Linked DNA regions of Canis lupus familiaris. The protein of the gene in region 3 interacts with the protein of the main gene of each other region in a pairwise test. Links are inferred from orthologs where the notes say so. Each region holds a gene or a part of one and is shown on either strand. Other genes may lie near its edges. The genes, in order: CAGE1, RXRG and MPPED2.

Region 1 (4,135 bases), on a different chromosome or scaffold from region 3:
CTGTCCTTCCGATCCGGACTTACCTCTCCCCTGACATTGTCAACTACTCGGCCTATCAACTCATTTCAATTATTTGCACTAGCGCCTAACATCTGTTTCGGGGCTCTTAGACTATCTCTATGTACCCCATCGTCAAGTCCTCGCTCCCATGCAGAAGGCAATGTTCAGGCGACGGCAGGGACTCTTGTCTTATTCATCACCGTCTCCAGCGCCGCCGACAGAACCTGCACACAACAGGCGCTCCGATACCTTCTGGACGTTGGATGCAGCTCAAGAGGCAAAAATCTGTTTCCTGGGCGGCCCGGGTGGCTCAGCGGTTAGCGCCGCCTCCGGCCCAGGGCGTGACCCTGGAGACCCGGGATCGAGTCCCGCGTCGGGCTCCCTGCGTGGAGCCTGCTTCTCATGAATAAATAAATAAAATATTTTTTTTTAAAGAAAAATCGGCTTCCTCCCCGCTGTCCCCGGCTGCAGACAGTCGCCTGACTCAGCGATGCTAAGCGACCCGGGGCTCCTTTGGGGGGCTCTGCCGCAAAGTGGGATAAAAGACCCCGCGGGGGTGCGGAAAGAAGCGAGACAACTACTGGTCTCCCTCCAAAGCCGAGGGGGCCGGGGGGGGGGGGGCAGCGGAGCCCCCGCGGGGTCGGGGTGTCGGGGGCCGCGCACCTGTCGGAGGAGTCCGCGTCGTCGAACTGCCCCGGGACCACGCGACTCATCAGCAGCCGGCGGTAGTCCATCCCGGGAGCGCGCAGAGCCCCGGAGGCCGTCCGCCGCGCGCTGGGACAGGAACCTACCTGCGGCCCATGAGACCGCCCTTCGGCAGACGCCCGCCCAGCACGCGGCTCAGAGGCTCCGCCGCGAAAGGCGGGCGCCACGCGCTGATAACGCACCTGCACCGGCAACCCGGACGCGCGGGGGGAACTTCCCTGACCGGAAGTCCCGCCCGACCGGAAGGCGCGGCCCGCCGGAAGTCCCGCCCCTTCACGAGGCGGTGGCGGCCCCTGCGCAGGTGGGGGGCGTGGCCCAGAGGGGGCGTGGGAGCCCGGCGGGCCGCGAGCCTCGCGGAGATTGGCTGGCGCGGCGGGGTGACGTCACACGCGCGCGAGTCCAACGCGCCCGGTACCTCCGGCCGTTTTTTAACGCCTTGGGTGGGAGCGGGTGTGACGTTGCTCTTCGTCCCGCGCCGCGGCGTGCGGAGGCGGGAGGCTCGAGGTCCTTGCCGCGGTCCGGGAAACTATGGAGCCTGGTAGTTAGACTTAAGGAGTTTGGTGCCGTGTTTTGAGGGTAAACTAAGATAAGTGATTTTTTTTTTTTTTAGAGAGTTTGTCATACGACTGAAAACGCCTTAAAACCGAACTAGAGGGGCAGCTGGAGGGCTCAGGGCGTGACCCCGGGGTCACGGGATCGAACCCCGCATCGGGCTCCCCCGCAGGGAGCCTGCTTCTCCCTCTGCCGGGGTCTCTGCCTCTCTCATGAATGAATGAATGAATGAATGAAATCTTAAAAAAAATAATAAATAATAAGTTGATAGAATGTGCACTATGAATAAAGGTCCAGAAATGTGATTGGAAATTCTAGACCAAAAAAGTTTAAGGAATAAGACACTTGGTTTTTTGTTGTTGTTGGTTGCTTTTGTTTTTGTTTTGCGTTTAGAAAACAAAGATTTTTTTCAGATGCCCTTCACCACAGCGCAGGCAGCATTTATGTGTTTGGAAAGATGGAAAAGGTGATTAAAAAGTTCACTAATCCCTGGCTAGCCTGCTTGACCCACTGGCTTTTTTTTATACTTTACGGGATGACATAGTAGCTTGCAGGGGGAGGGGATGGGAATCAAGCCTCAATTATTATTCGTTAATTCAGCAATTCAATAAAATAAAATCAGGCAAATGGCCAGTGACTGTAGATGGAGAAGTTTTAGTAAAAGTAAGTCCTTGGACTGCAAGGTTCGTTCAATCAATAGTCACTCTGTGAACGACATTGCTGTTTGCTGTAAGGAGTTCTGAAAAATCACGCATGGACTCCAATGGACGCACTTATAGTCTGTAAATACTGTGGGGCACCTGGCTGGCTGTAGGAAGAGCATGCGACTTGATCTCAGGGTGGTGAGTTCAAGCCCTATGTTGGGTGTAAACATCACTTTTTAAAAACGTGTAAATATTGACACCCTTGAAAGGGTGGCAGAGGTTAAAACAGTAAAATGAATAGGTGCTGAATTGTGATAGAGATTTTATTTTATTTTTAGGATTTTATTTACTTATTCACAAGAGACAGACAGGCAGAGACACAGGCAGGGGGAGAAGCAGGCTCCATGCAGGGAGCCTGACGTGGGACTCAATCCTGGGTCTCCAGGATCACGCCCTGGGCTGAAGGCAGATGCTCAACTGCTGAGCCACCCAGGCCTCCCATGTGATAGAGGTTTAGATGCAACAACATTGCAGGAATTTTAAAGATAGATGAATGGGTAGACAGCAAGGTCTCAAGAGAGAGAAGCATTTGCCAGTTCAGACTGAAGCAGTTAAGGAGCAAGATCTGACTAGAGCAGGGATGCACCAAATAGGTAATGTGGGTCCAGGCTGTGGGAGACCTAGAAAGTCAAGGAGGAAAACTTGGATTCCATGCAATTGGACATCCTTTCCTCTCCCATCCCCTGACAGGCCTGAGGAAGTCACAAGAGCATGGGCCAGTGCGAAGGTGTAAGAGGTGGAAAGAAAGCATGGGTTGTGAAAAACATTTTTTTTAACCAAAAATTTTTTAAAGGTTATTTACTTATTTATTCATGAGAGACACACAGAGGCAGAGACACAGGCAGATGGAGAAGCAGGCTCCATGCAGGGAGCCCGATGTGGGACTCGATCCTAGGATCCTGGGATCACACCCTGAGCCGAAGGCAGGCACTCAACCACTGAGCCACCCAGGTGCCCATGAAATTTTTTTTTTAAGATTTTATTTATTTATTTATGGAAGACACACACAGAGGCAGAGACACAGGCAGAGGGAGAAGCAGGCTCCATGCGGGGAGCCCGACGTGGGACTCGATCCCGGGACTCCAGGATCACAACCTGGGCCGAAGGCAGACACTAGCTAAACCGCTGAGCCACCCAGGGATTCCCGAAAGTCATTTTTAAAGGAGAGATGCACAGGACTTGGTAACTGGGTAGCCCAGTTGACGAATTAGAAGGATACCAAGGGTGTCTCCCAAGTTTTCAAACCAAAATGCCTGAGAGAATAATGTGGGATAGGAAAGTGGAGGAAAACTGATGTACAATGTTGGATTTAATTTGGTAATGACACAATAGAGAGTATCAAGTAAATATCAGTACAGTATTTTGTGGAACCTGATAGTCCTCTGATAATATTTTGTAAATATCTCTTAAATGACTGAGAGGTCCCTTTATGATCTGGGTCCCAAGTCTTTTAGGGAATGATTGGATAGTAGCCACATATATTGACTTGTTTTTGTCCAAATCAGTATTTACTGCTACACAAAGTGCCCATGATATACTCAAACTAAAAATTTTTATTTTTCTAATAACCTGACAACGGACATTTAAAAATTTTAGGACAATGAATGTTGCTGCTTTCTGAATGTGAGGGGGAATGGGAGGAATAACCTCTGTTTGTATATACTAATGAACATTAAAATTACGTTTTTGTTAAAAGAAACCTTCATCATTCAACAGTTAAAAACAAAGACTATCAAAAAGTTTGGTCATCACCTTCAGATCCTGCACATTTTGAAGTGGATGCCTCTCATGAAAAATTAGAAGGCGTGTTCAAAGCAGATAGCATGAATTTCAGCAGTTTTTCTCAAGACTTAACTCACTCACATTTTCCCTTGTATATGGATACCAACAGTACCACTTCAGACTCGCCTCAGGTGAGCGTTGCTTATAGAGTACTAGGAGGTACAGATGTATTCAGCTTTCACATTGTCTCCCATATGAAAATTTCCTCAAAAACAGGAAGAACACTAAAAGAATTTCTGGTGGAGGCTCAGAGGAGACCCTCAAACAGAGTCTGGTTTTCCTAGTTCTGTTAATGTAACAAAGAATTTTACAAATAGTGTTAACACTGATCCTTCCTGGACTCCAAGTGAAGTCTTAAGTGTGCAACCAGGGGACATAGTCACAACAATTTA
Region 2 (4,244 bases), on a different chromosome or scaffold from region 3:
TGAGGGGCCAGAGTCAGGATGGGTTGCGTCCTCAGCAGACAGCGCCGGGGGTGGGAGAATCTGGCTGGCTCAGAGCCTAGAGCCTGCGACTCTGATCTTGGGGTTGTGAGTTCGAGCACCATGCTGGCGTAGAGATTCTTAAAAAAAAAAAAAAAAAAAACTTTAAAAAACAAAAAGAAAGGAAGTGCGAAGGTCAAGATCCAGAGGGAGGTCTCATGTTGGGTTGGGTCGGGGGAGGCAGGGAGCTGTCCTGTGCTGCTGGGAGGAGTCGCAGAGCGGAGTCCTTCCCGTGGTGGGGCTGGGGCAAAACCCACATCGGCTGCCTTGGTTGCTCCATTCAGAGGCCGCTGGTCCCATTCACGAGTGGTGTTCCCTTGGGCAGTGTCTCCAACATCCCTGGCCCCCAGTCCCTGCATCTGCACAGTGGAGAGCAGCATGCCGGCCTTAATGGGGCTTGTGGGTGCAGGACGTGTCAATATATGTCAAGTGCTGAGAACCGGAGCTGGTCTTCACTCGGCAGTCGCTCAGCCAATGTTGAGCTGTTGTTGTTAGTCATGGGAGGAGGCGACGATTGAAGCATCAGTTAAAGTGCCTTCCTGTGGCGGGCCTCAGCCTGCCTGTGTGTTTGGAGCCAAGCTGGGAAAGGATGTGGGAGTAGGGGTCCCTTAGACTGGGAATGACCAGCCAGGGGTGCTCATCGGTTCAGCATCCGACTCTTGATTTTGGCTCAGTTCATGATCTCAGGGTCCTGGGATCCAGCTCCGAGCTCAGTAGGGAATCTGCTGGAGAGTCTCTTCCTCGGCCTCTATACCTCCCCCCCATGCACTCTCTCTGTAAATAATAAAAAAAAAATATTTTTTTAAAGGAAGAACAAGCCAGGTGTCGGACTACTCTCTGATGCTGGGGCTCATGCACCAGGTCCCTCCAGTGGAGACAAGCAGACAGGCTTGGATGTGCGATGGTGTCTCCGGGGGAGAGAGTTGAATGGGATGGAGCCCTGTGGTGCTCCCTAGACCTCACAAGAGTCCTGCCTCTCTGGAATAGCATGTCTCTACTTCTGTCCCCTTCCCTGTGGGTGGGTACGACCCAGTATCAAGATTCATGACAAGTTTCCACTCCGTGCAGGAGAGGCTTGTTAGGCCAGCGAACTACCCTGGCACAGCAGAAAGGGGTGGAAACACCGAGCCATTTGCTCCCTTGTCTGGCCAGTCAGAAAGACTCATGCTTGACATTTTCCTTTCATTGGCTGAGGATGAGGTTGCTAGGCAACCTCCTCACTTTGGTAAGAATTCTGTAGTTCTGAGTACCCGGGCTTCTCTTTCTCAACAAGTACCCCCTCAACATGCACATGCAATTTGTTACTCAGAGATTTTCACTTTGGTAAACAGCAGGGCTGTAGACTTCTTATGCAAGTAATTTCTATTGATCAACTCCCTATCGTCATACACGTTAATCAACAAAAAATTATCCCATCTCTGATCCTGTCTTGTCGTCAGGTACTTTTTGAGCATCTGCCAAGTTCCAGGCTCAGTGCTGGGTACCATGATGGTGACCGTTCACGGCAAGTGGAAATTAAAAGTATGTGACAACCAGGAAGACAGCAGATAGCCGGGGGGGGGGGGGTCGGGGGGGGGTCACGTGGAGGGACCTCTTTGTGCCAGGCTGGGCTATGGGGAGACCTGGGCGATCCTAGGAGGGTGGAGTAGCTGGGATGACGGAGGGGCACTCCGGGCTCAGAGCAGTGGCTGTACTAGCCGATTCAGACAACTCAATATTATAAACAACTGGTATGTCCGTACCAGTGTGTGGCGACGACTTTCCTCGATAGAGCATTTACCACAGGCCTGGCTTGGTCTAAGCCCTCGACGTACACGATCTTCTCCAATGGCATTCAGGCCACACACAGTGCCTTGCTCACAACAATTACAGAACAGTAAATTATTGCACCTGCCACCATGGGGCCTGTGCTTTCAGGTGCTCTCAGCAGGCCACTGAGGTAGGCACGTGTGTCCCCACTTTGGGTGGGGAACTGCAGTTCGAGGGTCACATTCCTTGCTCAAGTCTACGTGACTGGAAGGAGGTGGAGCCTCGAATCCAACCTAGGATTTTGTGGCTTCAGTCTTGTGTTTGGCTGGGCCGCCGCAGTGCCTTGATGCACACATAGACGTGAGGAATCATGCTGGTGTGGGCGCCCTGCAGATTCCCAGACAGCTTGACTGCTGGTGACACTCAGCGTCCCAAACAGAACGAAGGTCTAACAAGGTCCAGCTGCCAAGGACCAGGGGCCCCTCGGAAAGGGGTCCAGACTCACACCCATGCCAGATTGCTGTGACTGGCGCTGCTTCTTTGAGACCTCAGTGGGCCGCATCCTCATCCATGTTCATGGAGTGGTAGTGGGAGGGGTCTCGGAGACCCCTGAGCAGAATGAGGCCCGGAAATATGAAAGACTTTTCTTAAGTATGTTGCCAGGAGAGAAGAAAAGAGAGCCCACTAGCCATTTCCCATTAGATGAGTTACTTTTTATTTAAACAAATCACTGCCTGAATAAAGAGAATCGACTCTGCGGAGTGGAGGGTTTGTGCATCTCCCAGGCATCTGGCAGCGGGCACAGTCCGGCTATGGCTAAAGAGGATTAAGAGGATGTAGGGTCAGGGATGGAGCAAGGCTGCTGAGGTGCAGAGACCAGGGAGGATGGGGCTGTAGGAACAAGAGGGAAGCACTGGAGGATACCTTGACCTTGGATCTAGACTAGAAACCGGGTTTCTGGAAAAAAACGTGTGTACCTTTTGGTCCTGGCTATGGCTCCAACATGGCTTTGAGAAAAAGAGGAAAGAGGGGGGAATCCCTGGGTGGCTCAGTGGTTTAGCACCTGCCTTCAGCCCAGGGCGTGATCCTGGAGACCTGGGTTTGAGTCCCACATTGGGCTCCCTGCATGGAGCCTGCTTCTCCCTCTGCCTATGTCTCTGCCTCTCTCTCTGTGTCTCTCATGAATAAATAAATAAAATCTTTTTAAAAAATAATTAATTAATTAATTAAAAAAGAGAGAGAGGGAAGGTGATGAAAGGGCCATCTGTGGGTCTGACGCTCTGTGGTCTCTTTGGAGGACAGGTTCACTTCCCATTGGGAAACACTTCCATCATTAGAGGCACTGATTCCCACCTTTTCTAAAAGCAAAGCTTTCATGTCTGAGAACCAGTGGGTCATGGGAGAGACACAGAACCAACATGCAATTGTGTCAGCTGTATCAGTCTTTCTGAATTTTATTTTATTCTCTGAAGTGTGGTTATAAAGTAGCCCACCTCTTCTGCATCACTGACTCAGCAGAAGCAAACCGCATGGTAGGGCCATTGCAAAGCAAGCTTTAAGTCTGTTTCATCCTGTCTCAGCCATGCTATGCTCCTCACTGAGCAGCCGAGGCCTATTTTGACTGTCCTCATTATTATTATCAATAAAAACAGTGCACTTTTAATTTCAGTCACCCTCACATCATCTTCTTTTATTCTTGGGACAACTTGTGAGTTCCCCAAAGTCCGTGTTTCTATGTTTTTGTGCAGGTCAGTGTTCCTCTTATACATCATCCCTTTACATGTCCCTATTCCCAAGTGTCCTACATATTGAGGTCCTTGTACTTACTTTGTCCTAGGTCAATTTATTTTTTTTTCAAACATTTGTTTATTTATTTTTGGGATTTTATTTATGTATTTGAGAGAGAGCACAAGCAGGGTGAGCAGCAGAGGGAGAGGGAGAAGCAGGCTCCCCACTGAGCAGGGAATCCAATGCGAGGCTTGATTCCAGGATCCCGGGATCATGAGCTGAGCCGAAGGCAGATGCTTAAATGACTGAACCACCCAAGTGCCCGTTTATTTATTTTGGAGAGAGAGAGAGAGAGAGCAGGAGGAGAGACCGAGGGAGAGAGAGAGAGAATCTCAAGCAGACTCCCCTGAGTGGGGAGCCCGATGCAGGGCTGGATCTTACAATCCTGAGATCATGACCTGAGCCGAAATCAAGAGTCAGATGCTCAACTGACTGAGCCACCCAGGTGCCCTTACTCTCATTTTGAAAACTTAAATAGCTATTTTTAGAAAGGTAATCTCAACGCAAAAATAGAAGCCCAGTCACTTGCTATAAATAGAAGGAAACAGTAAAAATAATTATAGAACTATTAAAAAAAAGAACTATTAATATGTTTTTCAAGAGTTTGTCACTTCACATATGGCCTAAAATGTCCCTTACCACCGTGTCGC
Region 3 (2,954 bases):
AGGAAGAAAAAAAAAAAAAAAAGACAAGAAAAAAACCTCAGTTATTTCTGTAAGTCCTGGTAATTTAATTGTTCACGGGCATATTTTTCTATTCCGTAAGAGCCTGATACCAACATAGAATTACAAACTGAATCGCAGAGGCTCTAAGGTAGATATAAGGTATCCAGGGCAATGTGCAAACTTGCAAACATGTTAAAAATTTCAACAAATTAAAAATTATAAAAGGGACCTACATACCAAAGACCCAAGAAAAACTTTCGTAGCTTTTCCCAGTAGGTCACAAGAGATTTATATACTGCACGTGGGAAGTGTTTTTGCTTGATCCAGTGCCCGGGTGAGCTTAGGAAGCAGTGTCCTATGGTGATGTGTGTCTGCAAATCACTTGGATATTCGATTACTTGACTTTTTTTGAATGAAATGGAACTCAGCACCAAAAAGCCACACAATTCGAGTGAGATAAGATCACTTCTTGTTAACCATTCATTGAAGCAGTTTAGAGATTATCTCATAGACAAGGAAGCTGAGCATCCCCCCCACCCTCCTGCACCCCCCCTTCCGGATCCCAGTGCTGTGTGCTCTTTCCTGCCTCACCTGCCCCAAAGCCCATTTGGGGTTTTGGATGTGTGCACCCTGAGGAGCCTCTTCTGTGACTCTCTCTGTTCCCTAGAACTCAGTAATGAATGCAGGGCTTTGAAATGAAAATCATATTTTAAGAAGAGGGGAGAAGTGTTTTTCTCTGTATTCTCACTAGTAAAGAAATCACAGTCTTTCCCCGACAAATCTAATGCTTAAATAAGGAAAAAAGAATCCCTTTTCTTTGAAGTCAAGGATTCTCTCTCTAAAGAAAACAGAATGTAATTGGAAGGCAGCTTCTGAAAGCTGTTATCATCTGGGGAGGCTTCATTGAATCTCATCTCACTGCCCACTGGCAAAGATTTTTGAGTTTTCCTTGCCTGACAGCCCACCACTGAGTCACTATCATTTGTGTATATTACAGTAAGCATGACACTCTGTCTCCACAGGTTACGGCATTATGACCGACGGTTATACAACGTACATCAATGCCTCAACGTGTACAGTCAGCTTTCAACCGACCAACCCTCCAATTATATTTGACCTTCCAAACCCACAGGGTTCCTGAAGCTCTAAAAGCCCAATTGGAATGTGAGGGAAGGTCTATAAACTGCCATTTTTCTAATTATAAACTTACATTCTCTTACTTGTTTATTTCCAAATCCTGTGAGTTCTTTTTGTAAATTACTGGAACACAAATGACGCTAGAGGTTGTGCTTCTCCTTTATTTTATTTTATTTTTTTATTTTTAAAAAATGGGGCGTCCATTCGAAATGAAAGGAGCATTGTGAATTTGTAAAATGACTTCCGTTCTCTCCAAGGCCACGCCATAGTAAATTGTGAGTATTCGCCAAAGGACAGCCAAGCTTTCTTTTTAAAAGGTGATGAAAGTCTTATTTTAATATGCTTTAAGCTGGAAGAAAAAGAAAAGAGAGAGAGAGAGAGAGAGAGAGAGAAACAGGTAGGTAGTGTTTTAAAAACCACCCAGATTTGCACAACTGTTTAAGAGTATTGTTCGAAGTATTTTATTTTTTGATGTTTTGTTGTTGTTGTTGTTGTTTTCTTGGTAACGCTTACTTTTTTGCAGACATGGCCTGGATTTATAGCAATCTTTTCAACAAAAAGTAGGCGTGGAAAAGACTTCTCTTCACACTCTCACTATAAAGAAAGCTGCGTCCAGGGAAGAAAACGGCCCTCGTTTAAAGGATGGCTTAGCTAGTGAGATCCGTATTGTGGTTCTACAAGGTCTCATTGTTTGTTTGTTTCTTTTAAATTATTTTAGCTTTAAAAATATGGGAATGGAATCTGTCAAGAGCAAGTATTTCGTGCAGTTAAAAAAAAAATTGAGCGTGCAGACTCCTTTTCAGTATGGGTTTATATATATAAATATTTTTTGTGTATTATGACTAAGTTAGGAGTTTAATATTGCCAAGGACAGTACGACTGCAAAGGGATGCTTTATAGCAAGGCATCAGAAGTCCGAAGGGGCTGACACATTTTCTCAGAACTCAAGGTCTCAAAGAGCTTGAGTTAAGTCTCGGTACAGTTACAGGCGTGTACAGACTTAAGTGGATGCAATGGGAGGTAACTAAAATAAGGCTTAGTCGTCCTTTATATTTAAATACCCTGAATCGTCTTCTTACTTCCTCTCCCTCCCCCCATTTTGCACTGTGTGTCGATGCAATCTTCGCTAGCACAAAATATTGTCGCTAATAGTCATTTCTGTTTTCCCATTGTAAATGCTGTTGAGCTTTATTCTATTTTATGTTATCTTGTTAATGAAATTTAGGAAAGCAGTTGTTTCTTTTAAATTTATTGTGATATTCTATATCTAGCGGCCTTTATATGCAAATAAAATTGCAAGATTTTTAAATCTGTCCTGTTTGGAGGGTTGGCTGGTAGGAGGATGGTGGTTTAGTCCTGGGGAAGGAGGGATTTATTCACATGCAGCATTAGTACTGCCTTTCAGAAGAATTAGAATAAGTGATTTTTTTTTTCTGATTTTCAATAAATTTTTATTACCCACCATTCACAGGCTGGCAGGTAGATCGATAAGGCACTCAGTCTACTCTTTCCTTCCATCACACTGTCATCTATCTTGCCGTGGGCTTCTGAGGGTGAATATTTCGTCCTCACCATTGTAATTTCTATGAGAAGGCTGACCGTGCAGTGGAGGCTGTGGACGCTTGTGTGCCTGGCAGCGAGAGGGTGAACCAGTGGGTAATAGAGTAACCACTGCGGACTCTTACTTGTCCCCAGGAGCATTACCCCATCACCCCCTCACTATTCACTATTCTTTTATTGATGTCCCTCACTAAAACGTGGCAGCCAGGAGTCCAACAGGTGGTGGTGGAGTGTGGTAAACCAAGTTAAGTCTTTTT

The links.
Region 1: the proteins of MPPED2 (region 3) and CAGE1 interact in binary tests that used the Homo sapiens proteins (3 or more experiments, as listed by UniProt). The two-hybrid records come from large-scale screens. The link is inferred for Canis lupus familiaris from reciprocal best matches to the Homo sapiens genes MPPED2 and CAGE1.
Region 2: the proteins of MPPED2 (region 3) and RXRG interact in binary tests that used the Homo sapiens proteins (3 or more experiments, as listed by UniProt). The two-hybrid records come from large-scale screens. The link is inferred for Canis lupus familiaris from reciprocal best matches to the Homo sapiens genes MPPED2 and RXRG.

The regions. Positions count from the first base shown.
Region 1 is NC_049256.1:8,646,220-8,650,354, reverse strand, and holds the start of CAGE1 (cancer-associated gene 1 protein), read left to right. Parts: upstream 1-1,218; 5' UTR 1,219-1,233; coding exon 1,234-1,243; exon of another isoform or gene 1,244-1,281; intron 1,282-3,657; exon of another isoform or gene 3,658-3,677; coding exon 3,678-3,874; intron 3,875-4,135. Other genes in the region: RIOK1 (serine/threonine-protein kinase RIO1), read right to left, coding at 664-734.
Region 2 is NC_049259.1:18,575,329-18,579,572, forward strand, and holds the start of RXRG (retinoic acid receptor RXR-gamma), read left to right. Parts: upstream 1-1,304; 5' UTR 1,305-1,406; coding exon 1,407-1,578; intron 1,579-4,244. UniProt on the Homo sapiens protein: Receptor for retinoic acid. Retinoic acid receptors bind as heterodimers to their target response elements in response to their ligands, all-trans or 9-cis retinoic acid, and regulate gene expression in various biological processes.
Region 3 is NC_049239.1:37,322,273-37,325,226, forward strand, and holds the end of MPPED2 (metallophosphoesterase MPPED2), read left to right. Parts: intron 1-1,022; coding exon 1,023-1,141; 3' UTR 1,142-2,446; downstream 2,447-2,954. UniProt on the Homo sapiens protein: Displays low metallophosphoesterase activity (in vitro). May play a role in the development of the nervous system.